4 linked regions of the Stegostoma tigrinum genome follow. The protein of the gene in region 4 purifies or fractionates together with the protein of the main gene of each other region. This does not show direct contact. Links are inferred from orthologs where the notes say so. Each region holds a gene or a part of one and is shown on either strand. Other genes may lie near its edges.

Region 1 (7,977 bases), on a different chromosome or scaffold from region 4:
TTTTGAACTCCAACGTTTAGATCAGGTCTATCCTTTCCTACAGCTATGTTAAAACTAATAGAATTATGCTCACTTGCCCCAAAGTGCTCCCTCATTGACACCTCTGACACTTGCACTGCCTTATTTCCCCAAGAGTAGATCAAGTTTTGATCCCTTTCTAGTAAGTACATCTACATGTGAAATACGAAAATTTTCTTGTACACACTTAACAATGTGATCTTTCAGGAATCACTGGAGTGAGGGAGGGTCTGACAGGACTGGAAAATTGCTGATGTAACATCTCAGTTTAAGGAGAGAAGGAGGCAAAGAAAGGAAGCTAAGTGCCAGTTAGCCTGACTTTGGACATTGGTAAGATTTTAGAGTCCATTATTAAAGGATAAGGATTGTGGAGTACTTGGAAGTGCATTGTAAAATGGGGAGAATCAGCATGGTTTCATCAAAGGGAGGTCATGCCTGACAAATCTATTTGAATTCTTTTAGGAGGTGACAAACAAGTTCACAAAGAAGAGCTAATTTTGATCCGTTTTGATTTTCAGGAGACATTTGACAAGGTGCACACAACAGGCTGTGAAATAAGAGCCCACGGTGATGGAGGCAATATACTAGCATGGATAGAGGACTGGCTGACTGGCAGAAGGCAGAGAATAGGGAAAAGAGATCTTTTCCAGGATTGCAGCTGGTGACTAATGGAGTGCTGCAGGGTTCAGTGTTGGGGCCACAACTATTCACATTACACATTAACGATCTGGATGATGGAACTGCATGCATTGTTATTACATTTGCAGATAATACAAAGATAGGTGGAGGAGCATGTAGCATTGAGGAAGGGGGGAATTTCAGAAAGACTTGGACAGGCTAGGAGAGTGGGGAAAGAAGTGGCAGATGGAATACAGTGTGGGAAAGTGCGAGGTGATACACTTTAGTAGGAAGAAAAGTAATACAGAAGTGGACTATTTTCTAAATGGAGAAAGGCTTCAGAAATCTGAAATACAAAGGAACTTAGGAGTCCTAGTTCAGGATTCCCTTCATGTTAATATGTAGGTTCAGATGGTAATTAGGAAGACAAATGGAATGTTAGCGTTCATTTCAGAAGGGTGAGGATACAACAGCAGAGGCTATACAAGGCTCTGGTCAGACAGCATCTGTAATATGCCCTGTATCTAAGGAAGGCTCTGCTGGCCTTGAAGGGGGTCCAGAGGAGGTTCACCCAGGAAGTTGGAGACTCTGGGTCTGTACTCCGGAGTAAGAAAGGTTAAGGGTGGAGCTCTTTGAAATTTAGAGAATACTGAATATAGTGGGCGTGGAGATGTATTCACCAGTAGCAGAGATACTAGGGCCTGCGGGCACAGCCTCAAAGTTAAGGGACAACCCCCTAAAGTTGAGATAAAGTTGAATTTCTTCAGCCAGAAGTTGGTGAATCTGTGAAACAGATTGCCGCAGACAGCTACATCATTCAGTGTGTTTAAGAGAGAGAAAGATAGGTTCTTAATTGGAAGGGATCAAGGGCTCTGGGGAGAAGGCAGGAGAATACAGTTGAGTGAAACAGATTAGCCATGATCAATTGGCGTAACAGGATCGATGGGCCGAATGACCTAAAATTCTGCTCCGATATCTTATTCCCTTCCCTCCACGATACTGTCGGTAATTGATACGATGAATCAGCACCGAGGTCGGCGATTCATTTGATAAGGGCAGGGGGCCGAGCGATTCCCAGGCCTCTTGGGAAAGCCGCAAGTTAAGGTAAAGATCCCGCATCTGGAGGCTGAAACTGTAGCTATTTGCCTCTGATAAAAACACCCGCATGAAGTCACTTGGCCAATCCCACAGCCTCCTCCAGTTTATCGCGGAACTGGAAAAGCAAACAGCCCGGGGACACAAGACTGTCCAGGTCATGACTAATCCTGATAAAATAACCCGAAAAAAAACAGACACACACAAAAAACATCTCGCATATTCCCGAGTCTTTACACCAGCCCATGCAAGATTTGCATTTTCACGCCTGCAATATTGGAAACAGTTTTAACGAGATGGGTTTAAAAACAGAAGTTGCTCGAAAAGTTCTGCCAGAGCTGCTGACCTTTTCCAGCAACTTCTGTTTTTGTCCCTGATTTACAGCATCCACAGTCCTTTCGATTTTTAAATGAGATGGGCTAGTCTTTCTCACTCCAATTCCCCTACCCTCAAACCCAGGATTAAATTCCGAGTGGGCAAACCTGGAGATGAAACGGCTCTGAGGAAGGGTCACTGGACCCGAAACATTATCTCTGATTTCTCTGCACTGACGATGCCTAGACCTGCTGAGCTTTTCCCATCAATTCCGGTTTGTGCAATCCATCCTAACTGTTTGTGAAATCCATCCCAACTGTTTGTAAACGGGTTAAATCAGGTGAGGAAGTGGTGCCATGTCTCAGACAGTAAGAGTCACGGTGTGGAGGCGCTGGACTAGGGTGGACAAAGTCAGAAGTCACAAGACATCGGGTCCATAGGTTTATTCGAAATAATAAAATGACATAATTTTATTTGAAATATTTGATTTCAAATAAACCTGTTAGACCATAACCTGGTGTCGTGTGACTTCTGACTTAAGACAGTGAGAGATGAAGGAGGGAGGGGTGGGGGGAACAAAACGATCAGATCTACCGGTAGATCGACGCTGACATCACTGCCGTCCAGGAGGGAGACTCTGCAGGTGATGATGGATTTGGAGTCTCCGGCCGCGGGGATGTGGATCCCTGATCGCTGTGCTTCCCTCTGCTTCTCCCGGTCAGCGTGCCGGCGCACCGTGCGGCGACCGAGAGTCCTCCTCAGTAAACCCAGCATTTTCCCCACGGCTCCAGCTGCAAACTCCCCAGCACCGCCCCCCCACCCTCCGCCTGATCACTCGCAGCAAAGTCGCCGATTCTTGTTTCAAAAAGTAACAATTCCCGAAACACAATGTAACCGAGATACAGCTCGCCCCTGTGCTGCACACAAACCACACACATGCAGCACCTCCTCTTCAAATTAACCTAATCCTTCCAGCTACAATAAAGAGCATGCGTCAATCCATCCCAGGAAATGGCGTCAGCCTCTTCCCAATTTAATTTTGGGAGTAGGAGGCTGGAATTATCTCCATTCAGCTCCTAATCCCTCAACCTCCATCTCTTTGGGGGTGGCTCAGGATTCGCGAGTGAACCTGTTTTCAAGATTTAACACTTACTGTGGGTTTTCAACTCCTTTTAAAAAAAACCAGAATTAACCCTGCCTGTGGGTTTAGTTTGTGAGTGTCTGCGTGTTATCTGCAGCATTGATTTCCTGCTTCATCCTGATGAGTGGATGTGCCCCTCGAGCACCTTTGGCTTTGTGCGGCACGGCTTGGAAACCGAGTAGCGCCGCGAATGGTGCGGCCTGTCCCTTCGTTTAAAAACTCAGCAACCGTGCGTCCTATCAGTTCGTAAGCTGTGTATTGTCGTCTCTCAGTCTAATTTACTCACACAGAGTGGGGGGCGGGGGAATGGTTTGTGAAAACTAACTTAAAAAATGCAAGAAGGCTCCAGGCCCGAAACGTAAGCCTTTCGGCTCCTCCGATGTTGCTTGGCCTGCTGTGTGCATCCAGCTCTATACCCTGGATAACAAAGTGTGGAGCTGGACGAACACAGCAGGCCAAGCAGCATCTCAGGAGCACAAAAGCTGACGTTTCGGGCCTAGACCCTTCATCAGATGTGTTCATCCAGCTCCACATTTTGTTATCTTGGATTCTCCAGCATCTGCAGTTCCCATTATTTCTGATGTCAGCTCTATACCCTGTCATCTTAAAAAAAAGTCCTTCCACGTACTCCCATATCCTCCAATCCAAGGACCTGAAACGTTGACACTGATTTTTCATCACAGATACTGCCAGGCTTTTCCGGCAACTTCTGTTTTGGTTCCTAACTCAGATCAAACTGTTAATTGTCACAGTCTCCGTTTTTATTATCCCCACTCTGCACACGTCCGTCGATAAGAAATGTTAAATTTGTTTTCCTTTCTCTCTCTCCGCACAAACGTCTGAACTCTAGGCCGGAAACGTCAGCTTTTGTGCTCCTGAGATGCTGCTTGGCCTGCTGTGTTCATCCAGCCTCACATTTTGCTTTCTTGGATTCTCCAGCATCTGCAGTTCCCATTATCTCTGAACATTTCCAGATTTTTTTTCAAAAAAAGTACATATTGATTAATGAGGCTCTTGCCCATTTAAGGTGAACGTCAGGTTGCCCTGTTTGAAAGATCCGCAAGCCCCAGGGTTAAAGCTATTACCCCAGAGGCACCATAGGGATTGAATTGTCCTGTAGGGGCTGGAGACTTGTCAGGGAGCCATATGCAAGCCCCTTAGCCCTGCTTGTCATTCTTTATTCGTGGGATGTGGGTGTCACTGCTATTTATTGCCCATCCCTAATTATCACCCACTTTGCTGTGGGTGTGAAATAGGCCAGACCAGGTAAGGATGGCCAATTTCCTTCCCTAATAGACACCAGTGAACCAGAAGGGTATTTACAAGAATTGACAGTAGTCATGTGTTTGCCATTCAATTTGTCAGAGCAGCACAGCAGCTCCATGGTTAATATTGCTACCCTGCAGTGCAAGCATTTGATTCCACCTTTGGATGACTGTGTGCATGTTCTCCAGTGTTTGCATGGGTTTCCTCCACAGTCCAAAGGTATGCAGGTCAGGTGGATTGGCCATGCCAAATTACCCATTGTGCCTGGGGATGTGTGGGTTAGATGGATTAGTCATGGGAAATGCAGGTCTACAAGGATTGGATAGGGAGATCGGTCTGGATAGGCTGCTGTTCAGAGGATCAGGATCGACTTGATGTGTCAAAGGGCCTGGCTCCACACTAGGGATTCAATGGTTTTTATTCCAGATTTTATTGAATTCAAACTGCACCAGCTGCTGCGGTAGAACTCAAACCTGTGCCCCAGAACATTAGCCTGGGTTTCTGGATAACTAGGGTAACAACATTTCCCACTATGCCACCGCTTCCCTCGATCTTATGTATGAAAAGCTTAACATGAGGGATAGTTGAGGACTCTGGGCCTATTCTCAACGGAGTTTAGAAGGATGAGGGGGGACCTAATTGAAACTTATAGAATACTCAATGGCCTGGACAGAGTGGATGTTGGGAAGATATTTCCATTGGTGGGACAGACTTGGACCCAAGGGCACAGCCTTAGAGTAAAAGGAAGACCTTTTAGAATGGAGATGAGGAGAAACTTCTTCAGCCAGAGAGTGGTGAATCTATGGAATTCACTGCCACAGAAGGCTGTGGAGGCCAGGTTACTGAGTATGTTTAAGATAGCAATAGTTAGGGTCTTGATTGTTAAGGGGATCAAAGGTTACAGGGAGAAAGTGGGAGAATGGGGTTGAGAAACATATCAGTCATGATTGACTGGTGGGGCAGAATGGCCTAATTTCTACTGCTATGTCTTATGGTGTTAAGGTGGATAGCGGTGCCATTTATATGACACAGCCTCCTGATTGAGCACCTCTGAACTGGCAAACAGGCAGCTTCTCGAGATGGAGAGGCCAAGCAGCAAGCCTGCAACAATGGTCAGCAATCTTCCCCAGTGAGAGAAATGGGCACTGCTGAGGCAGATATGTCAGACTTTAAAATGTGTTATTATCACTCTTTCATGGGATGTGGCTGTCATTTACAAGGCCAGCATTTGCTGCCCCAAGCCTAATTGTCTTTGAATTGAGTGTCGACCAGACTTGGTAAAGATGACAAATTTTCTTGCTAAAAGATTGTTTATGAACTAAACATAGGCTTTCTTAATGAAAATCGATAATGGTTTCCTAGCCAGTTTTTCTGAAATTAGTTTTATATTCCAGCCTTATTGCAAAATTCTACTGCCTTCTAAATCCCAGAGCATTAGTCTGGCCTATGGATTACTAATTCAGTGACGTTACCATAATTCTATCATCTCTGGAAGAGTGATGTAAATTTAAAACAATGTATTTATTCCTGTGGGTGTCACTGTTTTCTTTCCCTCTCTGTCCACAAACATCTGAACCTTTCCAAGTTTTTTTTTTAAAATGCATGCAATCTAGTATTGAGCTCCCTTACCCTAGGGAAAAGACCTTTGCTATTCATTTTATCCGTGTCCCTCAGGATTTTATAAACCTCTATAAAAAGTCACCTCTCCACCAATGAAAAACATCCCAGTCTATCCAGCCTCTCTTTATAACTCTAACCCTCCAGTCCTTGTAAATCTTTTCTGCATCCTCTCCAATTTTAAAATATCCTTCCTCTGGTAGGGTGACCAGAACTGTACAAGTACTCCAAAAGTGGCCTTACTAGTGTCTTGTACAACTCCAGTGTGACATCCCAACTCCTTTACTCATTGGTGTAAGCAATGAAGGCAAGTGTGCCAAATGCCTTTTTTACCACCCTTTCAAAGAACTACGTATCTGAACCTCAGGTCTCTCTGATTAACAATACTCCCCAAGGTCCTACCATTACCTGTACAAGTCGTGCCTTTTTCGTCTTGTCAAAATGCAACACCTCACATTTATCCAAATTAAAACTTGATCTGCCACTCCTTCGCCATTGGCCCAATTTATTAACATCCCTCTGTAATTGTAGTAACCTTCATTACTGTCCACTGCTCCATCAATTTTGGTGTCATCTGCAAACTTACTAAACATGTTTCCCAAATTCTTATTCAAACATAAATAAATGATAAACAACAATAGATCTGTGGAAAACACAGGCCTCCAGTTTGAAAAATAACCCTCTACCAAAATCCTCTGTCTCCAACCATCAAACTAATTTTGTGTCCAGTTTACAAACTCTTCCTAAGTCCCATGCGATTTAACTTTACTAACCAGTCTACCATGTGGAACCTTACCAAAGACTTTACTAAAAGTCCATGTAGACAACTTCTACTGCTCTGCCCTCATCTATTTTCTTGGCCACATCCTCAAAAAACTCAATCAAGTTTGAGAGACACAACTTCTGTTGCACAAAGCCATGCTGACCATCCCTAATCAATCTTTGCCTCTCCAAATGCATGCAAATCCTGTCTCTCAGAATCTGCTCCAACAACACATGCAACATTGATGTCAGACTCACCAGTCTGTAGTTTTCAGGCTTCTCCTTGCAGTCTTTCTTAAATAAAGCCACAAACACTAGCCTCCCTCCCATCTTACAGCACTCCACCTGAGGGTGTTGATGATACAAATATCGTTGCTAGGGGTTCCATAATTTCTTCCCTAGCTTCCTAAGTGTCTGGGCTACACTTGGCTATGTCTCCAGGACTTATCCATTTTCATGTTTTTAGGAACTCCAAGCACCCTTCTTCTATAACGTAGGCTCTTTTTAAGACATTGATAGTTACTTCCCAAGTTCCCTAGCTTCCATGTCTTTTTCCACAGAAAATACTGATGCAAAATATTCATTTAGTATTTCTATTCAGTATATTCCTCCTCAGGTTCCACACATAGACAATCTCATTGATCATCAAGGGACATATTCTCTCCCTCGTTGCTCTTTTCCTCTTAATGTACTTGTAGAATGTCGTTGGATTATCTTTAACCTTATCTGCCAAGGCTATCTCATATCCCCCTTCTCACCTGATTTCCTCCTTTGACTCTTCAAGCAAGTCACTTGATTTCAGTTGTCTCCCATGTTTACCTCAATTTAATTCTGGATATTAAAATATAATTGCACAGGTATTAAAGATTATTTTAAATTTTCTAACTCTTTATAATTAAGTTCATTGACTAAAAAGAGTTTATTGTTGTTTGTTCACAACAGAAGAATCTAATGGCATCCCACTCTTTGTAAATTCTTGGGATCTCACAGCTTGTCTACTTTGTAAAGTGATCTACAAGTCCATAGCCAAGTTATAACTTCAATTTGGTGGTCTCCTCCAAGATCATGATGTTAAAAAGTGCAAAAATATTTTCTACTTTCTTAAACATAATTTTGTCAGACAACATAGCACTTCATAGGCGTTG
Region 2 (6,879 bases), on a different chromosome or scaffold from region 4:
TCCTTCTCTATTTTCCCAAACTACTTCCATTCCTTCCTTCTTCATGGCTCAGTAAACTTAGGTTTGTATTTTTATCGAGCAAAACATACAAGTTAATGTATCTGTAACAACACAATCCATAAACTAGGAATCTCACCTTTGATGATAAAAACCAAAAAATCAGAATGGCTTCAGAACCACAAGAAATCAGAAAAAGCTGCAAAGGAGAATATGTCATGATACATGCTGCATGGATACTTTCCCTGCATCCCAATTGTACGACTAGAAGTGGGTACCAGTCATTCTTTCCCCTCCATCCACGACCAATAAATTGGCTAAATTAAGGAAACAAGACGTATTCCTTTCATACATTACTTACTTTGAGTCTCCTCTGAAGCACAAGCCACATCAACCTGAAGAGGAAAATTTTAAGGAATAGTAAGTTTCCTTTGACAGACAGAGCAGCTTTATTCCACAAAATTAAAAGATCATAATTTGAAATTGTACTTTATAACCAACGGCTACGTGAAGCAGCCACACAAAACCACATCAGCTTGATCCGCACCATCACACAATGCATTTCCTCCATCAAGTCAAAGTTTTAAAACATCATGAGTGGTCTGTGTATTTCTAGATGAGACCAAATTGATTTGCGTGACCAGCAACACAGGTATGCGCCAAAACCAGCAGAGGGAAAAAATAAAAGTATGGAAGACCAAATTAAATTTGCAATGAGTCTGAAGGTACCACGCCAGAACATGGGAAAGGGAATAGGCCACTCATCCTGTTGAGCCTGCTCCATCATTCAATACATTCATGATGGACCATCCGTTACAAGATCGGCTTAGGGCAAAAGAGACATGAGCGTGCTGGTGTTAGAAGTAATAGCAAAACAGATAAAAATTTGGCTAAGCTTATAGGGAAATCAATTGGGTCCAAAAATATTTCTCTTCTAAAACTGGGCAAATCTGAAAGCCATCAAAATAGTAACATCCTGATTGCCAAAAAACTCACAACCAAGACAAAAAAAGTCATCAAATTTCAGCCGAAAAAAGGTCATGGCAGGATTCACTGGACTTAAGGGTTCAATTTATACCAATTCCATTGGTTATTCACAGAGATTAAGCAAACAATGTAGCCTATTTGTGAGGATAAGATTATTGATAGTTTTTCAGATAATAAAGGTTGAGGGTAACGTGGATACTAGAGTGTCTCCAATTTGGCACACACCCAAAGACCCAAGACTATCAGTGAATAAAAAATGAATGCATGGTATTTCTCCAAATTCAATATAAGCTATTGCAGAATTAGAGGATGTAACATTTTATTTATGCAGTCCATCATGTTATAAAGTAGAGGCTGACCCCACCTCACCAAATAACTAAAACCAAAAACACCCAGACCTTGCCTTGCCTTATAATTTGTTAATAGAAAGGAGTGTGAGAAGTGATATAACCTGCTTCTCAGCAACTTCTAGTGGTTAAATAAAAGAAGTCCCTGACATTCACTTTACAATTAACAATTTATTTTTCTAACAGTGAACAAATTAGCTAAACTATTACCAAAATGAATAAATCCCTTCTATGTACTAGCTATTCCTGATTAAAACAGGAATTGAATGGTCTGCTTTCCAATAAATACTAGTCTCACTTACATAACAAAATTAAACAGACTTCAGTCTCTCACAATTACAGCCAGATTGTCTTTTAGAATGCTCTATACATTCTCCATCGAATGTTCTGTCAGGAATATTAACTCGCTGTGCCTAGGTACCTTCGGTTTACATGGTGCTTTCTCGAAAACTTAAGAGAAGACCGTGACAGCTACCAATTCTCTCGAGAGCTGTTAACTCTGGCGGATGGCAGTTAATTTTTCTGATTTTTTTTTGCCAACTGCCCTCTCTTTTATACCCTTGACAGTATTGCAATTTCTTGCAACAGGATTGGACCTATGTTGTCAAAAACATCAGACTTAAAGTTAAATGATTTTTGGTCTCTAAGTGCCTGGTTCAAATTGATTAACTAAAATCAAAACTTATTGTCTTACTAACAAAACAGAACAGCTGCTCAGCCTGTTAACTATAAGGCTTTTGATACAAATATTTCAATTCAGATGCTCTCTGTGTATCCGCAAACCCATAAGCTGCTGCCCACAGACATTTTGTTTAAATCCCTAAGTATAGAAAAAACACATAGTCTTTTAAAGGGACCATGTATGGTTTTCTCCCCTGGCATTTTACAAACACCAAATTCTAACATCCTGCCTTCCAATCCACAATACTCTAACCAACTTCGCAACAATCATCATTAATCTGCTATTTACAACTTTCAAAAATGTAAAAATTCTCTTAAAGGTAGTTATTGTGCAGCTATGTGAAAAAAAAACAATGTTTAAAAGGTCATTCTTTTTACATTCTGTTTACAGGCCCTTACCAAGTATGCAGATCAGTGAGTTTTTTAAAAATTGCGTTCACTGACCGAAACACTGCTCAATGTCACAAGGCAATGTGAATTGTGAAAGGCAATGCAAATTCTTTTCAATACTTCAACAGGTACAGGCAGCTTAGATTATTTTTTGCAAGTTTTGAAGAAGGGACCCAAAGTGCTGACTCTGCTTTCTCTGCACAGATGCTGCCAGACCAACTGAGTTTCTTCAGCTATTCTGTTTTTGTATCAAATTATTTTTGATGGCAACCTATCAGGAACTAACTCTTACAGGAAGCTGTGCAGCCAGTGACATTTGAATCAGTTAAAGTTTTTCTGATAGGTTTTCAAACCATGTATGCTTTGGATTCTACACTCAGTTTCTAGATTCCAGATTACCTTTGTTGGCTTCCGTCTGTTTATCTCAAAGAACGAAGTCTCCCACTTCTTCAGCGCAAGTTTTAACTCATTGTATCGATCCATTTCCCAATAGCAGTCCACACTGGTTTCTCTCAATCCTTCATTTGTTTCTACAAGAGAAAAAAAAAGACAAAATAAAACATTTGATTGCATGCAATTTTTGGAAAGTTAAAAAGCGGACATTAGTTCATTTACCAAAAGATGAAACAAAGTAGTCTTTGACAACTTTCAGCCCTTTGGTCCTGACACATCCAACTAGGTGTATGTATTGCCCTACTTGCTGCCAATTCTTATACACTTCAAAGCCCTGTTGATTTAGGGGATCTGCGTTAGGGTGATGCTACCAGCTCCACACTTGGCCTCAACAATCTTAGAAAGTAGGGCAGGAGATGAGGGATGGGAAGATAAAAGAAAAAGTACCAGAATTCCTGCTAATTTGTTCTCATTCACTAGGAATGGTGCCTTACTCCTAATCTACTCCAAATATTTGATACATCAGTTCAATCCATTCAAACCCCTTTCTCAGCCGTACTCTGAATCCCTTTTGCATTCGCTGGCTCCACAAAGTTGAGTGCTAGTCAGCCAGAATCATTCCCAGCCACACCTAATCTTCAGCCATGGTTTTCTCCTTCCCAACAGAAAACACCATTGCCATCAGATTCCTTCCAAAAAGGTTCAGTTTTTACTTTTCATTACAGATGAAGTTGGTGTGCCGGGCGAGAGGGGTTCAAGGGCAAGGAGGATGAGGTATTGAAGCTAAGCTTAACATTATTTGCTACTCTTTTTGACTGACATTTTTGGAACCAGCAGACTGGAATCACCTGATCAGAACTTCACAACAGCCACTGGTCCAACCCTGAGAGCTCGTGATCCCACTCACGGCCAGTAACTCATGATAATGAGGTGCTGTAGTGAACAGCAGTGGTAATATATTCAACTACAATCTGCAACCTCATAATTCAGCACATGCTTCATTTTGTTGTTGCCATTAAGCTAGGGGGACTAAGCTTGTTTCCATGAGAGGCAATAGAAGAGCACAGGAACAGCACCAGGTGATCTGAAAATGAGACACAAATTTGTGGCTACAAACCAACAACATCTAACACTCAGAACGACAAGGGCAGTAGATAGATGGGGAAACAGCTGCCTGCAACTCACTCAGCATCCGGACCTAGTAATCAGAGACACTGGCTCAAAATCCCAGGATCCCCTTTCAGACAGCAGTGTGGCTGTACCCACACCTGAAGGACTGCAACAGTTAAAGAAAAATTGGAAGTGTATATATTATCATTGGTGGCTTTCTTATGAGAGAGACACTACTTCAGCAAGTCAGCATTCCAACCAACGCACCCCTGAACAATTTATAGGTGGCACCCCCGACGCCCTTCCTTAAGGCAACGTGAGATCGGCTACAAACGTTGGTCCAGCCAGCAACACACTAAAAAAAACTTAACCACAACCACTAGGCATCTTTATGATCAACAGTAGCACTTAGAAGTGGAGTTTTTGAATTCTGCTGAGAAACAACTCACTTCAGGTAGAAAGCTAGCAAGAAAGCTGACAACGGGATACAAATTACAGACAAAAAAATAAGAATCCACAGGGTCAGGAATCAGGGGTAAAAGAGAAAAGTGTTCTCGTGGAATTTGGAGTAATTGGGAAGGAGTTAGTCGAGGTGAGATGCTGACGGAGATTGGTGCCTGTTTGTTCCGACGGTGCGACAGAGAAGTGTCATCAATTTAGCCACAGGGATTCAAGGTATCGGGGCAGAGGAGCCCGAATCCAGGTCCACGGCTGAGCCGCAAGCAGGAGCTGTTCCACTGACCACCGAAACTTTGAGATAAGACTTTTTAAGATGAACTTCAGTGTTTTATTTTCTGGGCTTTACACTTCTGTGTTTTATGGTGGTGCTGGGGAGGAGTGACACGAAACAACACTGTATTTGGAATAAATACAATGAGACAATAAATCACAATGAACTTAAGCAAGATAAACTGAACCGACTGGATCGCTCAGGATTGTATTTATTTAGGATTGGGTGGGGCATGGTGAATCATAGAATCCTTACAGTGTGGAAACTGGCCATTCAGTCCAACAAGCCCGCCCACACTGTCCCTCCGAACAGCATCCCACCCAGTCCCATTCCCCTACCCTTTCCCTAAAACCCTGCATTTTCCCATGTCTAACCTACCTAACCAAAACATCCCTAGACACAACGGGTAATTTAGCATGGTCAATCCACCTAACCTGCACATCTTTGGACTGTGGGAGGAAACCGGAGCACCCGGATGAAACCCACACAAACATGGAGAGAATGTGCAAACTCCACATAGACAGTTGCTCAAGGATGGAATTGAACCTGGGTCCCTGGTACTGTGAGGCTGCAGTGCTAATCACCGAGCCACCGTGCCACACACTGCTCATTTTAGATAGTGCGGTGGTTATGTCACTCCGATTATGAATGTAAATCTTGCAAATGGAAATTCAAATTCCAGTATCAAAGCTTGGAATTTTAACTCTGCAAATCTGTACAAAGTTATTGGATTACTGTAAAAACCCATATATCTACTGCTGCTTTTGTGTGAAAGAAACTTGCAGTTGTAAATTTATTAATTTTTAACTGTCCTCTAAAAAAACCCCAGCTAATGGCTTAGTTGCATTGAAAACACTGGCAATGATACAACCAGTAGTGGTCAATAATTGCCATTTGTAACTTCTTAAAGGGTTTTTTGTTTTTAAATCAGGAAATAAGGAACATTAAATTCAAAGTTTCAATGAACGGGCAACACACAGAATATATAGACAGTGGGCAAAGCAGTGGCAGGTGGAATTTAGGAAATGTACTGCGGCGAGGCAGGAAGGATGGTCCTGGTGCTGGGGGTGGGAGAAGCCCAGAACCAGGGAACACGGAGTCAGGGTAGTGTGGTGGGACACTGAGATGTGGAGATGTCTCTTCACCCAGGAGGTGGGGAGCCTGTGGAATTCTCTCCAGGACATGGGATGTCTCCCAAGAAGGAGTCAGAGATAGTTCTCAGGGTTGAAGGGATCAAAGGGCACGGGGAGGGATGAGAAAGGGGGTGGTGGGGAGTGGGGGAGCAGGGTGCTCCGAGGGCCCACTCCCGCCCCCTCCCCCTCCCCCTCCCATTAACGGTGTCGCCATGGCAACCCAGCGTACCCCACACACACACACCTCCCCCAACCGAAGGAAGAAACCCCGTGTCCGCACGCCCCCCCCCCCGGAGGAGAGGCTCCCGGCCACCCCCCCCCCCCGCGCGCCCCCGAGGAGAGGCTCCCGGCCACCTCCCCCCGCGCGCCCCCGAGGAGAGGCTCCCGGCCACCTCCCCCCGCGCGCCCCCGAGGAGAGTCTCCCGGCCACCCCCCCCCCCCGCGCGCCCCCGAGGAGAGGCTCCCGGCCACCTCCCCCCGCGCGCCCCCGAGGAGAGGCTCCCGGCCACCACCCCCCGCGCGCCCCCGAGGAGAGTCTCCCGGCCACCACCCCCCGCGCGCCCCCGAGGAGAGTCTCCCGGCCCCCCCCGCGCGCCCCCGAGGAGAGGCTCCCGGCCACCTCCCCCCGCGCGCCCCCGAGGAGAGGGTCCCGGCCACCCCCCCCCGCGCGCCCCCGAGGAGAGGCTCCCGGCCAACCCCCGCGCGCCCCCGAGGAGAGGGTCCCGGCCACCCCCCCCCCCGCGCGCCCCCGAGGAGAGGGTCCCGGCCACCCCCCCCCGCGCGCCCCCGAGGAGAGGCTCCCGCCCCGCCCCGCCCCCCCCCCCCGAGTGTAGCGTTAATGCCCAGACGCGCGCCGCCGAGAGCAGCCTGACTGCTCGGGCGCGCACACCCGACTGTATACTTAACGCCCGGGCGCGCCCCCGACCGAGTGCAGCCTTCATGCCCGGACGCGCGCCCCCGGACACTGGGTTGGGTTGGGTTGGGTTGGGGTGGGGGAGGGGGGGAAGCAATGGCCGACGGTGTGTGGCCCCGGGTAAATGATGCAGCGTTTACCGCGAGAGCGGCCGGTACCGAGAGAACCTTCCAGAAACCGAGCTTTTCCCGCCTTTGG
Region 3 (7,274 bases), on a different chromosome or scaffold from region 4:
TAATCAATGCTGTACTTCATAATGGGATTTTAAAATTACTTAACTATAAAAATCAGACTAAAACATGCACAGAAATTATCAAACTGAATGATCTCTGGTATGGAGGGACTCGCTTTTAAGCAAAGGTTAAACAGGTTGGGAGTCTGAGTTTAGAAGACAGAAAAGTGATTGCACTGATACACATAGGATTCTTAAAGGATTTGGCAGACTAAGTGCCAACAGGATGTTTCCCCTCATGGGAAGAGTCTAGGACCTGAGGGCATAGCCTCATAATAAAAGGGGCTTCAATTTAAGACTATGATAAGTAGGAATTCCTTCCCTCAGAGGGCTGAGTGGCTTTGGAACTCCACGTGAAATGCTGTGGCTATTTAAGGCTCAAATAAATAGATTTTTGATCAGTAGGGGAATCAAGGGCCACAGGGAAAAGGCAGGAAAGTGGATATGCGGAATGTCGGATCAGTGGAGCAGGTTTGAAGGGTCAAATGTTCCCATTTCTCACAATCTTATGAAATAGTTAGACATATTTGAATCAATGGATTGCAGTTTCAGGACGACAGCTCCAGAATTTTTAAAGTACACGAATAACATCTTTAGCACAGTGCTTAGAGAAGGACACAGGTTTGTTGATGCTGACACTCTTCATATTACTTTAAATCAAGGCTCACCTGCGTATATTTCTAAAAGATTCATGGCACTGAATTATCAGAAAATAGTTTGTGCTTTCTTCTCTAAAGCCACCAAAAGATACATTAGCTAGTTATTCACATGTCTCCTTGGAACCCTGCTCCCAGTGAGTGCAACTTTAGCATGAAAATGCAGAATGCAACTGAAAATTAATTAATTGGTTGAGAAATGCTTTGGCAAATCTAGAAAAAAATCCACAGACAAACAGCTCACATTTATACAGTACCTTGTATACTGAGAATATCTCTAAGCACTTCAATCAGTTAGTTACTTCCAATAATCAGTCTGTAGTACATGCAAATATATCAGTCAAATTATGTGTAACAATGTCACACCAACATTAAAAGGGTTTTGAAAATTTGGTCTGTTTTGGTTGGAATAGTTGAGAAAAGGTGATCAAACAGAATTTCCTATTCAGCAAATGATACAATGGAATCATTTACTCAAGGTGAATAACATAACTGGGCCTTATTTTATTCCCTTGTTAAATGTAACACCCTTCAACAAACAGAGCTTTGTAAATGGGTTTTGAGAAGATTTGTAGCTCAGGTTGAGTTTCTGGATGCGAGTTTGCTCGCTGAGCTGGAAGGTTCGTTTTCAGACGTTTCGTCACCATTCTAGGTAACATCAGTGAGCCTCCGATGAAGCGCTGGTGTTATGTCCTGCTTGTCCTAGGATGGATATGTTGTCCCAAACAGACACGCACGAGAATTCCTAGAAGCGTGGCATTCCAACTGGAACTCCATCAACAAACACATTGATTTGGAGCCCATCTACCATCCTCTGAGAAAAAGAACAGGAAATGATATCACCAACCCAAGGAAACCTAAGCAGATAAATAGAAAGCGGGGCATAACACCAGCGCTTCATCGGAGGCTCACTGATGACGTTACCTAGAATGGTGACGAAACGTCTGAAGACAAACCTTCCAGCTCAGCAAGCAAACTCACATCTGGAGAGTTTTGTAATATGTTCACCTCATGAGTTCATTAGATGGACTTGGAAACAATTCAGCAATAAAGTACTATCACCAATAACTAGACATTGATAATTGCATATTAACTTTCCAATTTGTATGGAACAAAGGACACAGAATGAAATAAAGATCTTAAATGTTGTTTCATATTTTCATTGGGGAGCACAAGCACCACTGGCATTCCAGATGAATATTACATAAGTGCCCAAAGTAATTTTAAAAAAACTTAAGATGTCAGAATAAATACTTCTGAAAACCAATGGTGGCCATACATGCCTACTATCCAACAGCCTTTAATTTGTAATTGAAAAAGTAAAGAACTGCAGGTGCTGTAAATCAGAAAAAAAATTAAAAATACTGGCACAGGCGAGTAGGTGTGATAGCATCGCTTTCTCTCTACAGACACTGCCAGATCTATAGAACTTTTCCAGGAGGTTTTATTTTTGTTTTAGCCTTTAATTCTTTGTTAAGCAAATTCACACTTAAACGTGAACGTAACTGATCCACAAATAAGCAAACCTTAGAACTGATTTGGAAGTTTTAATAATCAAATTACCCAACTGTGTACTACTTGAAGATGGCAAAACAGTATCATGTTAATAAATAAAAGCAAAACACTATAAATGTTGGAGATTCAAAATTAACACAAAGCCCTGAGAAATTCAGCAGGTCTGACAGCATTTGTGGAGAAATGCAGTGTTAACGTTTTAAGTCAAATACGACTCTTCTTGGGATTGGATAAGTGATGCTGACTTTATGCTGTAAAAGGTTGGCGGGGGATGGGCACGTAAGGACAGACGATACCTTACGCATTTGGAGCAGGCAGAAGTAATATCCTGTTTGTATTGCTTCCCCCCCTCCCCAATTGGTTTAAAAGCTTCAGGGCGTCTGAGGCCCACCCCTCCCCATAGAGACAGCTAGGTGGACTTCCACAGTGTGTGTGTCTGTTTACTGCTACCTTAAAAACATGACCTGCCGAGTAAACACCGCACTGCGGCCGCTGTAAACATTCAACCTTCAAGCCTCAAATTCAGCAGAACACGCATCTCGGATCCGGCGTGCAAGGCTTTTTGGGGGGTGGTCTGAACTCCCACCTTGTATGTCCCTGCAACACGTGAAGATTTCACCCTCTGCCTACAACAAGCCGCTCAGACAGCACTTTCTGTTCGCCGCAGCCCGGGCCTCTAACCATTCATTCATCTATCCTTCCGTCCGTTCGTTCGTTCGTCCACCTATCCATCCCTCACCTGTACCTGCGCTCCGCAACCGTTGCTCCCGCCCGGCCGCCTCACAGCCACCACCGCGCGCTAATGGCGGACACCAAAGAGGCCACTTCCCATTGGTCGCCCCCTCCCCGCCTGACGTCAGGGAGCACAGAGCCGACCAATTAGAGGGCACGAGCCCGCCGGGTGCCGGATTCGTCGGCTCTTAAAGGCGGCCGAATTTTAACCTGCCGGCTAAAAATAGAGCTTTCGGAGAGACGCTGACGGCCCAAGATTCACCGTCCATTCCCAATAGGTTTTGGTGCGAAGGCATCGAAAGCTCACGAAAAGACACGATGTAAATGTAGGATATGTGCCTCCCTAGGTTACTGAGCGTACAGGTTTGTCTTGGAGACTCCAGGATTTGAAAATTACTCGCTCAGGCGCGTCTCCCTTCATTATTACTGGGCTCGATTAACCAAAAAAAAGTTTTCATTTATTTATTAATCATTGCAACGAAAGGTTTCTGATTTGCGCATTACAGTGTTTAGAGTCCGTGTTTTAGAATGGATAGTGTATGGGGGATTGGTTACTTTTCTGAAGGGTTAAAAAATAAATCAGACAATCCTTGCAGAATACTGTCCTAATCCAGTGTCTGTTAGCGAGGAGGAATTTCTGGAGTGACGATGGAAGTAATGAGATCAGTTGGTTTGGTTTTGGCGCAGAAAAATCCAAAGTTTTTTTTCTTTAAGTTTTGGAATTCCAGAGTTTGAAAGTTTTTGGTTAATTCAAACAGGGCAAAGCAGGAAGCTGGGCAAACACAGCAGGTCGGCCAGCATCTGGAGGAAAGGAGCTGCCAACGTTTCGGGTATTACCCTTCTTCAGGACTGGGTATCGGGGGAGGGGGAGCTGCAGATAAATGGAGGGGTGGGGGCGGTGTTTAACAGATTGGTGGTGATAGGTGGACACTGATGGCAGGTATGACCTGGTTGGTTGATGGGAGGGTTGAATGCAGTTGATGGCTGGAAGAGAGGGTCAGTAGGCAGAATGGAAGGGGCTGGAAAGGGAGCTGGGGGATGCCTGGGAATGTTATTTGAATTTGGAGGACTCAATGTTGAGTCCTACAGGCTGTAGGGTGCCCAGGCAGAAGATAAGGTGTTGTTCTTCAAATTTGCGTTCTTGTTCGATGTGACACTGGGGGAAGCTGAGGATGGACATGTTGCAAGGAGGGCACGGCTGGTGGTGGTGGTGTGTTGAAATGGGCAGTGGCCATTATAGGCCAGGTGAAGGTGCTCTGCCAAACAGTCACCTAGTCTACGGTTGGTCTCACTGATGTAGAGGAGGGCACATTGGGAACACCAGATGGAATCTGACCTGGCAGAGCTGTTTGATGCCTTGGATGGGGGTGAGGGAGGTGGTGTGTGGGCAAGTGTTGTATCTTTTATGGTTAGAGGGGAAGGTACTGGGCGGATTGGAGTGCTTGGTGGGGAGTGTGGCGCGAACTAAGGAATGGCGAAGGGAATGGTCCTCACGGAAGGCAGAGAGGGGTGGGGAGCGAAAGATGTTCCAGGTGGTTGATCTTATTGGAGGTGGCAAAAGTTTGGGGATGATACGTTGGGTGCAGAGGATGGTTGGGGTGGCAAGTGAGGACAGCTGGCGCTATCTTTATTATGTTTGGTGGTGGAGTGGTTAAGAGCTGTGTAGTGGGGAATGGAGGAGGCGCAGTGTAGGGCTGTCTGGATGACAGAGGGAGGAATAGAGCAATGTTTGATAAAGGCAGACATCCAGGATGCTTCTGAAGATTTGATTGAGATCATAGGCCATTTCTCTTTGTAAAAGGGATATTGTTCAGTTCAGGGAAAGCACTCTTGACCTCAGTAGAAAAATAATAGTTTGTACTGCTTTTAGACCAAAGTGTTTAGTCAAAAAATCTGCAATTTATTATAAACTGAAAAGATTTAAGAACTTAGATTTGTAAGTGTTCATGTAAGAAGGCTTAACGGTATACAAGAGCACTGGTGGATTCAGTTTTGTCAGTCTTAAAGATTTTATATTCAGGACTTCTGTAGCGTAGTGAGTTTGGGAAATAAATTGAAACTTCGGTTTGCTGGGTGTTTTAAGATTTTTTTTCCCAGCTGAGCTGTAAATCTAGATGATTTAGTTTGTTAATTTTGTCTTTTCAGTAGTAGCCTTCTGTTTTCTTGACTCAAAACTTTTAACTGTTTTTGTCTTTGCAGATCCTGTCAAACCTGCTATGTTTTTCCAGCACTTTGTTTTTATTAGAAATAATTGTTTAATGCTTCTATCATCTTTCAGTCATTACCTGTAATTGTTTCCTATCAATCTCTCAATGGTCCTATTATCATGCTAATCTTTCATTTTTGTTGGATGTGGGTGGTGTTGGCTGGCTGGCATTTCTTGCCCCTCTATTGTTGCCCTTCAGAAGGTGGTGGTGAGCTGCCTTCTTGAACTGCTGCAATCCCCCTGCTGTGGGTAGACCCACAATGCTATTATGGAGGCTATTCCAGATTTTGACCCAGTGACATTGAAAGAACATGGAGGTGGTGGTGTTCCTGTATGCCTGATGCCTTTGTCCTTCTAGGTGGAACTGATCGTGGGTTTGGAAGGTGGTGTCTGAGGATCTTGGGTGAATTTCTGCAGTGCATCTTGTAGTTAGTACGCACTGCTGCTAATGAGTGGCGCTAGTGGAGGGAGTGGATGCTTGTAGATGTAGTGCCAATCAAGCAGGCTGCTTTGTTTCCAGGATGGTGTCAAGCTTTTTGAGTGCTGTGGGGCTGCACTGATCCAGGTAACTGGGGAGTATTCCATCGCACTCCTGACTTGTGCCTTGTAGCTGGTGAACAGACTTTGACGAGTCAGGAGGTGAGTTACTCGCCACAGTATTCCCAGCTTCTGGCCAGCTGTTGTAGCTGCTGTGTTAATGTGGTGAGTCCAGTTGAGTTTCTGGTCAATGGTAACCCCCTGGATGTTCATAGTGGGAGATTCAGTGATGATAACACCATTGAATGTCAAGGGACGGTGGTAGATTGTCTCTTATTGGTGATAGTCATAGTCTGGCATTTGCGTGGCTTGAATGTCACTTGTCACTTGTCAGCCCAAGCATGGATATTGTCCAGATCTTTTTGCATGTGAACATGGACTGCTTCAGCATCTGAGGAGTCATGAATGGTGCTGAACATTGTGCAATTGTCCAGTCATCGGCGAGCATCCCCACTTCTGACCTTATGATGGAGAGAAGGTCATTGATGAAGCAGCTGAAGATGATTGGGCCTAGGCTACTACCTTGACTCCTGCAGAGATGTCCTGGAGCTGGGATGATTGACCTCCCACAACAATGACCATCTTCCTATGTGTCAGGTATGACTCCAACCACCGGAGTGTTTGCCTCCGATACCCATTGATTCCAGTTTTGCCAGAGTTCCTTGATGCCACACTCTGTCAAATGCAGCCTTGATATCAAGGGCTGTCACTCTCACCTCACCCCCGGAATTCAGCTCTTTTGTCCATGTTTGAACCATGGCTGTAATAAGATCAGGAGCTGAGTGACCCTGGCGGAACCCAGACTGGGTGTCACTGAGCGGATTATTTCTGAGCAGGTGCTGCTTGATGGCACTGTTGATGACACCTTCCATCACTTTATCGATGATTGAGAGGAAACTGATGGGGCAGCAACTGGCTGGGTTGGATTTGATCTGCTTTTTGTGTACAGGACATACCTGGGTGATTTTACACATTGTTGGGTAGATGCCCGTGTTGGAACTGTACTGGAAAGCTTAGCTGGTGACTGGCAGTTCTGGAGCACAAGTCTTCAGTACTATTGCCAGAATATTGTCCGGGCCAGCAACCTTTGCGGTACCCAGTGTCTCCGAACATTTCTTGATATCACGTGGACTGAATCGAATTGGCTGAAGACTGGTATCTGTAATGCTGGGGACCACTTGAGGAGGCCAAGATGGTTCATCCACGTGGCACTTCTGGCTGAAGATTGCTACGAACGCTGTGGGTTTGGAGTCATATGTAGGCCAGACAGGTGAGGGTGGCAGATTTCCTCCCCTGAAGGACATTAGTGAGTGAGCTTTTTGCGTCAATCGGCAATGATTTTATGGTGATCAGTAGATTCTTAATTCCAGATATTTTTTATTGAATTCAAATTCCACCATCTGCCGTGGTGGAATTCGGACCTGAATCCCCAGAACATCCGCTGGGTCTCTGGATTAATAATCCAGCGATAATACCACTAGGCCATTTATTTTATTATTACCTATCAAATATTTTGTTTTATTTCATAATTTCAACTTCATAAATTCCTCTTTGCCTTCCTAATTTTTGTCTTCCCTCCTAATCTCTACCCATTTTCTTCTGTCATGCAGTCTTCTGCTTTCTGTAGACTT
Region 4 (6,854 bases):
TGCTCTCACAACTCTGTGTAAGACAGCTATCTCAACACCATTAGTGGGCAGAGATCTAGTGGAGAGATGTAGTGTTCTAGGAAACTTGCATATGAATTTGGAAAATGGTAACCTCATTCAACGATTCTAGAAAGAACACCAGAATAAGAAACAGGAAAGTAATCAACACAGTCCCTCAAGCTTGCTTTATAAAACCATAGCTGATCGGGTCTCAATTCCACTGATCACCTAGTCCCTATAAAGCTCGATACCTTTATGGTTTAGGATATCTACAACTCAGTACCAAATACGTTCAATGATTAAAGTTTCTACAGCCCTTTATGGAAATTCACAAAATTAGGGAAGAATTCACCCTCATCCTAGATTGGAGATGCTTCATTCTGAACCTGTGTCCCTTATCTCTACAATCCCCAATGCAATGAGAATGTATTTAGTATTTACCCTATCAATATTTCTAACCTCCAATGAGAAAAGGTCCCAGATTGCTCAATTGCTTCTTTAGACAATGTTGGATGGGGGAGCATTTACAAGGTCAAAGTGGTCGACTGTCAGTTTGAAGAGGGGTAGTGAGGGAAAATGTGAAAGGGGGTAGGGACAGAACCCAAGGAGTAAAACTAGGGCAGGAATAAGCTTTCAAGGAGGTTTGACCTAGGATGGTACAGGTAGGGAGGAATCCAACAGACATTGCCGATCAGATAGTCTCAATCTTAGTGACAGAAAAAATACCACAACTTCCTTGGACTTGTTGCTGGAGGTGAAGGTAATGAAAACAAGAGGACAATTTTTATAGAGTGAGGCTTGAGGAGACTTTGTTGAAGGAATAAGATCAAAGACATGATAACACAAAATATTGTCTCAAAGCCAAACTCAATCATCCACTAAAAGCTCATGGACTCCAGGAGTTTTGGCTCTGAGTGAATACTACTGTATTGTTGTAAAAGCTGATCTGGAGGATGATGCCAATAGGAGCAACTGAAAGGCAGAACACTGGGAAATTCCAGGTGCTCAGCTCCTGGAACAGTGAGCTGGACAGAGAAGTTATGGTTCTCCCAAACAATTGCTGATTTCAGGTTTCTACAGTAGTGGCGAGTTTAATTGTTCTTGGAACGTGGTGGGTGTCACTGGCGAGATCAACATTTGTTGCACATTCTTAAATTCCATTGAAGATGGGGAGATTGATCAACATTGTAATTTTGGTTTTACATAGCTGAGTGCATTGCTAAGCCATACAGCAGTTAAGAGTCAACCACATCGCTGACCCTGAAATCACAGGCCAGACCAGGTCAGAGCAGGTCAGAGCAGGTTTCAAGCTCCAAGAGGCAGATCAGCTTTTACAACAATACAGTAGTTTGAGTCACAAATTAATGAACTCAGTTTAGGTTCTTTTACCTATCATGGTAAAACATCCCAATGACACTGCTGTCCCATGGAGAAAGCCAATTTTAAAATATATCTTACACAATTGCTGCAGTAAATCTTATACTTAGGAGAAACTGCAGTCACACCACACCCATGGTGAAGGGAGCAGTTGTTTAAGATGGTTGATGGCCTTTAATCAAGCAGACTGCTTTGCCCTAGACAGTGTTGAACTTACAGCATCATTAGTATGCCATAACAGAATAGTGTCACTCCTGGCTTCTATTTACAACTGGTTGTCAAGCTTCAGGATTCAGAAGTTAGTCTAATTACTACACAACACTCGGTCTTAAACTTCATTCAGCCATAGAACACATGTGAACAGATCAGATAAGTTTCTGGTCAATGGTAACTCACCATCCACCAAGGTTTCTGCACATCATTGTACACGTACATTTCATGAATGGAAAATCAACAGAACTGGTGCACAACAGCAACCGCCAGAAAAGTGTAAAACTCTATAGGTGTGAAGCTGAAAAAACACAGGTCATCCAAGCAGGAAAGTCAACGTTTTGGGCCAAAACCCTTTGTCAGGGGAAGTTGTGAATTCTTCTCAGTGATGATCACTTTACAAAATTGGGCAGGAGGCAGAGAACATGGTCTCATTCAAACCTGAACAAAGTGGACCCTGTCTAGCCTGGGAGATTTTTTTTTAAAAAAGGAAAAAAAAATTAGGATTTCAATGCACAGGCAGAAGGGTATTCAGCACAGCTGAATCATATATACACCAACATACATGTCAAAGACCACAGGAACATGGAACTACACACAGTCATTCAGCTCTTCCAAATCACGGCTGATCTGATTTTAACCTCAACCCCACGTTTCTGCGTATCCCTTCGTAATCAAAAACCTATCCACCTCTGCCTTTTAAAAATGGTGCATCCGCTGCCTTTTCAGGAAGGGAATTACAGGCATTCAACCCTCACAAACAAAATGTTCCTTTATCCCATTTTAAAAGAAATACTGTTGCCCAGAGTTCCTACTATGCCTTAGTTCTACATTTTAGTTCAACAGAAAACATTCTTTCAGTGTTTCACCGAAACCCCAGCAGCCCCCTCTCAGCATCATGCCAATCTCACCCTGATTTCCTTCACGTCCTGCTTGCCACCCTCGGGATACCACTGCACCCGGACATAACCTTTCTTAAGGGGTCGCTCCCGGCCGGCGCCCTCCTCGTCCGTGTCCGAGCTCTCACCGCTACTGACCTCGCCATGAATTAAACCGACAATGCCGTGCCTCAAGGCCCCCTTGTAGGTGCCAGACACAAGGTCATCCACAAACAGGAGCCGTTGGCTGCCTGGGGCCGGGGACTGCGCGGGAGATGGTGCAGAGGATGGAGAACCTGGGACGGCAGGCCTCGGCTCTCCAGTGGCCGTGAGCAGGGGCCTCGGATCCCCAGGTGTTCCTCTGCCACCAGGGCCGGGTACCACAATGCTACCGGGACCGGGTTCCCCGGGTGTCGGGCTGTCCTGCGGCCCAGATGCCTCACACGGCAGACTATCGCCTAGCCCCGGATCACCGGGTGCTGGGCTACCGCCGATACCCAAATCCGCATCCGCCTCCATCGCCGCCGCTGGGAGAAGCCGCCCGGCAACGTGGTGACGTATTTACGTAGCGTAACCTTACGTCATAGCACGCTGGGGGCGGGACACCATGGTTGCGACTTTGATTGGTCGCTTCCTGGGGCGGGACAATCCTACGGGGCGGGGCAGTGTTTTGTTACCCACCCTCTTGTGTAGCCCCACCCTTTACGGCACATCCCCGCCCCGTTTGTCCCACTGTCCCCATTAGCCCCGCCCTATTTACCCATCCCCGCCCACTATTAACACCGCCTTCCCAACTAGCCCCGCCTATTTCTGCCGGCTGGCCTTGCCCTCCTTGTTAATCCTGAGATAGCTCCGCCCTCCTTGCTAGCCCCGCCTATTGATGGGTGTGCCCATGGCCGGGGAAACTGATCGGGGTGAAGGATCAGGATGTGGAATGCTGAGATTTTCGGAAATCTCTTCGTCAGGTCTCAGAGATGAGGAAACAAAATTACAACAGGTGGGACTGGGAGGATAGAAACATTATCTTTTAATGTTCGGACAGAATTAGACGCAGCTCCAGGCACGTGGAACTTGAGCCCAAGCCTTCAAGTGCAGACGTAGCGACATTACCATTGCGGATATCATTAAGGGATTTATTGGCATGGATTGAGAACTGGCTAATGGTCAAACACAAATCAATGCGTCACTTTCAAGTTGGCAGGCAAGTGACTAGGGTACAGGAGAATCAGTGCTTCACACTCGACTGCTCACAATTTATATCAATAATTTGGACGTGGGGATAAATGTAATGTTTTCAGCATTGCAGCGTTGGATTTTAAAGATTGGCCAGGTGGTTGACATTGAGGGAAAAATTGTTAGGTTACAGGAAGATATAATTTGATATAATCTGATTTGTCAGGTGGGCAGAGCAGTGGCAGATAGAGTTAAACACGGATGTGTGCAGTGATGCACATTGGAGGAAGTAACAAAACAGAGGAGTACTCATTTCCTGAAGAAGGGTCTAGACCTGAAACATCAGTTTTCCTGCTCCTCTGATGCTGCTTGGCCTGCTGTGTTCATCCAGCTCTACACCTTGCTATCTCAGATTCTCCAGCATCGGCAGTTCCTACTGTCTCAGTACTCAATGAATGGCAGGACACTAGGAAGATCAAAAAACAGATGGATCTAGGGATGCTTGTCCTCAGATTTCTGAATGTGGAGATGTTGGTGTTGGACAAAGTCAATGTCACACATGTTTACTTGAAATCACAACCTTTCAAAGCATGGCTCCTATGCCAGGTGCAGTGAGAGAGGAACACACAGAACAGAGCTTATAGGCAGAGAGATCAAAAGATCAAACAACTGGTGTGAGTAGAGTGTCAGATGATAAATCTCTGCAGGTGACCAAGAGTATTACACAGTGGATAAAGTGTCAACAGCTGACACTTGTGGGTGGCATGGTGGCTCAGTGGTTAGCACTGCAGCCTCACAGCGCCAGGGAGCTGGGTTCAATTCCTGCCTTGGGTGACTATCTGTGTGGAGTTTGCACACTCTCCCTGTAGCTGCATGGGTTTCCTCCGGGTGCTCCGGTTTCCTCCCACAGTCCAAAGATGTGCAGGGTAGGTGGATCGGCTATGCTAATATGCCCGTAGTGTTCAGGGGTGTGTGGGTTATAGGGGGATGGGTCTGGGTGGGATGCTTCAACAGGCGGTGCGGACTTGATGGGCCAAAGGTCCTGTTTCCACACTGTAGGTAATCTAATCTGATAACCATAATCCAATTAAGTGAGGCAGAGATAGTTATGAGAAAATTAGAAATAAGGTGGTGCTAGAGGCAAAATAAATTACAACTAACATGATAGGTATAAGAGTCACATGGGGAGGGTCCAACCAAACTAATAAGTAATACAAAACTGTACAAACTAATAATGGGACAGAGATCATAACAATTTATCAAGGGGGTGCTAGGACAGTGGGGAAGATTTTACAGATACAAAACAGTGTGGTGGGGTCACTTGTAGGACAACATGAACCCAAGATTACGGTTGAAGCCATCTTCATGGATATAGAACTTGGCTATCAATCTCTGCTCGGTGTTTCTGCGTTGTTGTGTATCTCAAAGTCCACCTTGAAGGATGCCTGCCTGAAGATCAGAAGCTGAATGCCGTTGACTGCTGAAGTATTCCCCCACTGGGAGGGACCACCCCTATCTGGTGATTGTTGAGCAGTGTCCATTCAACCATTCATCCTGGCACAATACTCATCATCAATGACAGGTTGAAGGCTGTGAATAACACGGCATAGTTTCTCCACTCTGACAAAGTACTGGACAACAAAGGGTATCCTATAGGTCATATCCTGTGTCCATCTTATGGAGAGGTCTTTGCGATTTTCTGTGGTGGCACATCAGAACTGGTGATTGATGAGCTGAGCATTGTATCCCGTCCTTATGAGGGCATCATTCAAAACCTTTAGGTGTCCATCGCATTCCTCCTAATCTGAGCAGATTCAGTACTTGCCCAGAGCAGAGAAATTGCACCATATTCTTTGCAGCCTTCAGCATGTCATCAGTGGCGATGAGCATCTCTCTACGCCTCCATTTCTCACCTTCAAAAAAACCACCAAACCTTAAACAGACCACTATTCGCAGCAAACTACTCAGCCTTCAGGTCAACATTGACCATAATGCCACACAATCCTGTCATGGCAACCTCTGCAAGACATGTCAGATCATCAACATGGACACTACCATCACACATGGGAACACCACCCACGATGTACATGGCAGATACTCATGTGACTCGCCCAATGTTGTCTATCCCTTACGCAGCAGGCAAGGATGCCCTGAGGCATGGTATTTTGGTGCAACCACACAGAAGTTACAAAAATCGATATTTGGACACTGCACAACAATGACCAGAAAGAAATGTTCCCTCCCAGTTGGAGAACACCAACGGTCAAAGACATTCAGTCTCCGATCTTCAGATAAGTGTCCTCCAAGGTGGACTTTGAGATACACAACAATGCAGAATCACCAAGCAGAAACTGACAGCCAAGTTCCATACCAATGAAGGCAGCCTCAACTGTGATCTTGGCTTTCTGTTTCACTACATGTGATCCCACCGCACTGTTCTGTATCTGTAAAATCTTCCTCACTGTCCTGTTTTGACACCATCATCTTGATAAATTGGTATGATCTCTCTGCCTTAAGTAGTTTGTACAGTTTTGAATTAGTTGTTACTTCGAGTAAAGCCTCGGCATGTATCTATCATGTTATTCCCGTCATTTAGTTTGCCTCCAGCACCACCTTATTTTTAACTTTTTGTGATTATCTCTCTGCCTCATTTAATCAGATTATAGGTCATCCTAATCGCTGGTTATTCAGCTGTTCACACTTTACTCACGGTCTAACAGTCTTGGTCACCTGCAGAGATTTATCATCTGACACTCCAGTCACACCAGTTAGTTGATCTTTTGATCTCTATGCCTATAAACTCTGTGACTGTGTGTTTCTCTCTCACTGCAATGGTCTAAAGGAGCAATGGTCTAAAAGCTTGTGATTTCAAATAAACCAGTTGGACTATAACCTGGTTAATAAAGTGTGAAGCTGGATGAACACAGCAGGCCAAGCAGCATCTCAGGAGCACAAAAGCTGATGTTTCAGGCCTAGACCCTTCATCAGAGAGGGGGATGGGGTGAGGGTTCTGGAATAAATAGGGATAGAGGGGGAAGCGGACCGAAGAGACTATGACCTGGTGTTGTGTGATGTCTGACTTTGTCCATAGATTTCTGAACGCAGCAGAACAGCTTGGTAGGGTAGTTAAGAAGTCATATAAGATATTAGCCTTTATGAATGGATTATAAGAGCAGGGAGTTTGTATTAGAGCTGTACAGGACCTTGGTTAGATCA

The links.
Region 1: the proteins of (E3-independent) E2 ubiquitin-conjugating enzyme UBE2O (region 4) and epb41l5 purify together in Homo sapiens (affinity purification with mass spectrometry; 3 studies listed by BioGRID and IntAct, counting the BioPlex papers as one, with this or other methods). This does not show direct contact. The link is inferred for Stegostoma tigrinum from reciprocal best matches to the Homo sapiens genes UBE2O and EPB41L5.
Region 2: the proteins of (E3-independent) E2 ubiquitin-conjugating enzyme UBE2O (region 4) and recql4 purify together in Homo sapiens (affinity purification with mass spectrometry; 3 studies listed by BioGRID, with this or other methods). This does not show direct contact. The link is inferred for Stegostoma tigrinum from reciprocal best matches to the Homo sapiens genes UBE2O and RECQL4.
Region 3: the proteins of (E3-independent) E2 ubiquitin-conjugating enzyme UBE2O (region 4) and nap1l4b purify together in Homo sapiens (affinity purification with mass spectrometry; 3 studies listed by BioGRID, with this or other methods). This does not show direct contact. The link is inferred for Stegostoma tigrinum from reciprocal best matches to the Homo sapiens genes UBE2O and NAP1L4.

What each region holds. Positions count from the first base shown.
Region 1 is NC_081360.1:89,538,503-89,546,479, forward strand, and holds the start of epb41l5 (band 4.1-like protein 5), read right to left. Parts: upstream 3,016-7,977; 5' UTR 2,821-3,015; coding exon 2,641-2,820; intron 1-2,640. UniProt on the Homo sapiens protein: Plays a role in the formation and organization of tight junctions during the establishment of polarity in epithelial cells.
Region 2 is NC_081355.1:155,526,267-155,533,145, reverse strand, and holds the start of recql4 (ATP-dependent DNA helicase Q4), read right to left. Parts: upstream 3,006-6,879; 5' UTR 2,976-3,005; coding exon 2,802-2,975; intron 393-2,801; coding exon 359-392; intron 1-358. UniProt on the Homo sapiens protein: An ATP-dependent DNA helicase which unwinds dsDNA with a 3'-overhang in a 3'-5' direction. Does not unwind more than 18 bp of dsDNA. May modulate chromosome segregation. The N-terminal domain (residues 1-54) binds DNA Y-shaped DNA better than ss- or dsDNA.
Region 3 is NC_081370.1:8,636,549-8,643,822, reverse strand, and holds the start of nap1l4b (nucleosome assembly protein 1-like 4b), read right to left. Parts: upstream 3,015-7,274; 5' UTR 2,914-3,014; exon of another isoform or gene 2,908-2,913; intron 2,873-2,907; exon of another isoform or gene 2,755-2,872; intron 1-2,754. UniProt on the Homo sapiens protein: Acts as a histone chaperone in nucleosome assembly.
Region 4 is NC_081375.1:2,583,998-2,590,851, forward strand, and holds the start of (E3-independent) E2 ubiquitin-conjugating enzyme UBE2O, read right to left. Parts: upstream 3,002-6,854; 5' UTR 2,985-3,001; coding exon 2,499-2,984; intron 1-2,498. UniProt on the Homo sapiens protein: E2/E3 hybrid ubiquitin-protein ligase that displays both E2 and E3 ligase activities and mediates monoubiquitination of target proteins. Negatively regulates TRAF6-mediated NF-kappa-B activation independently of its E2 activity.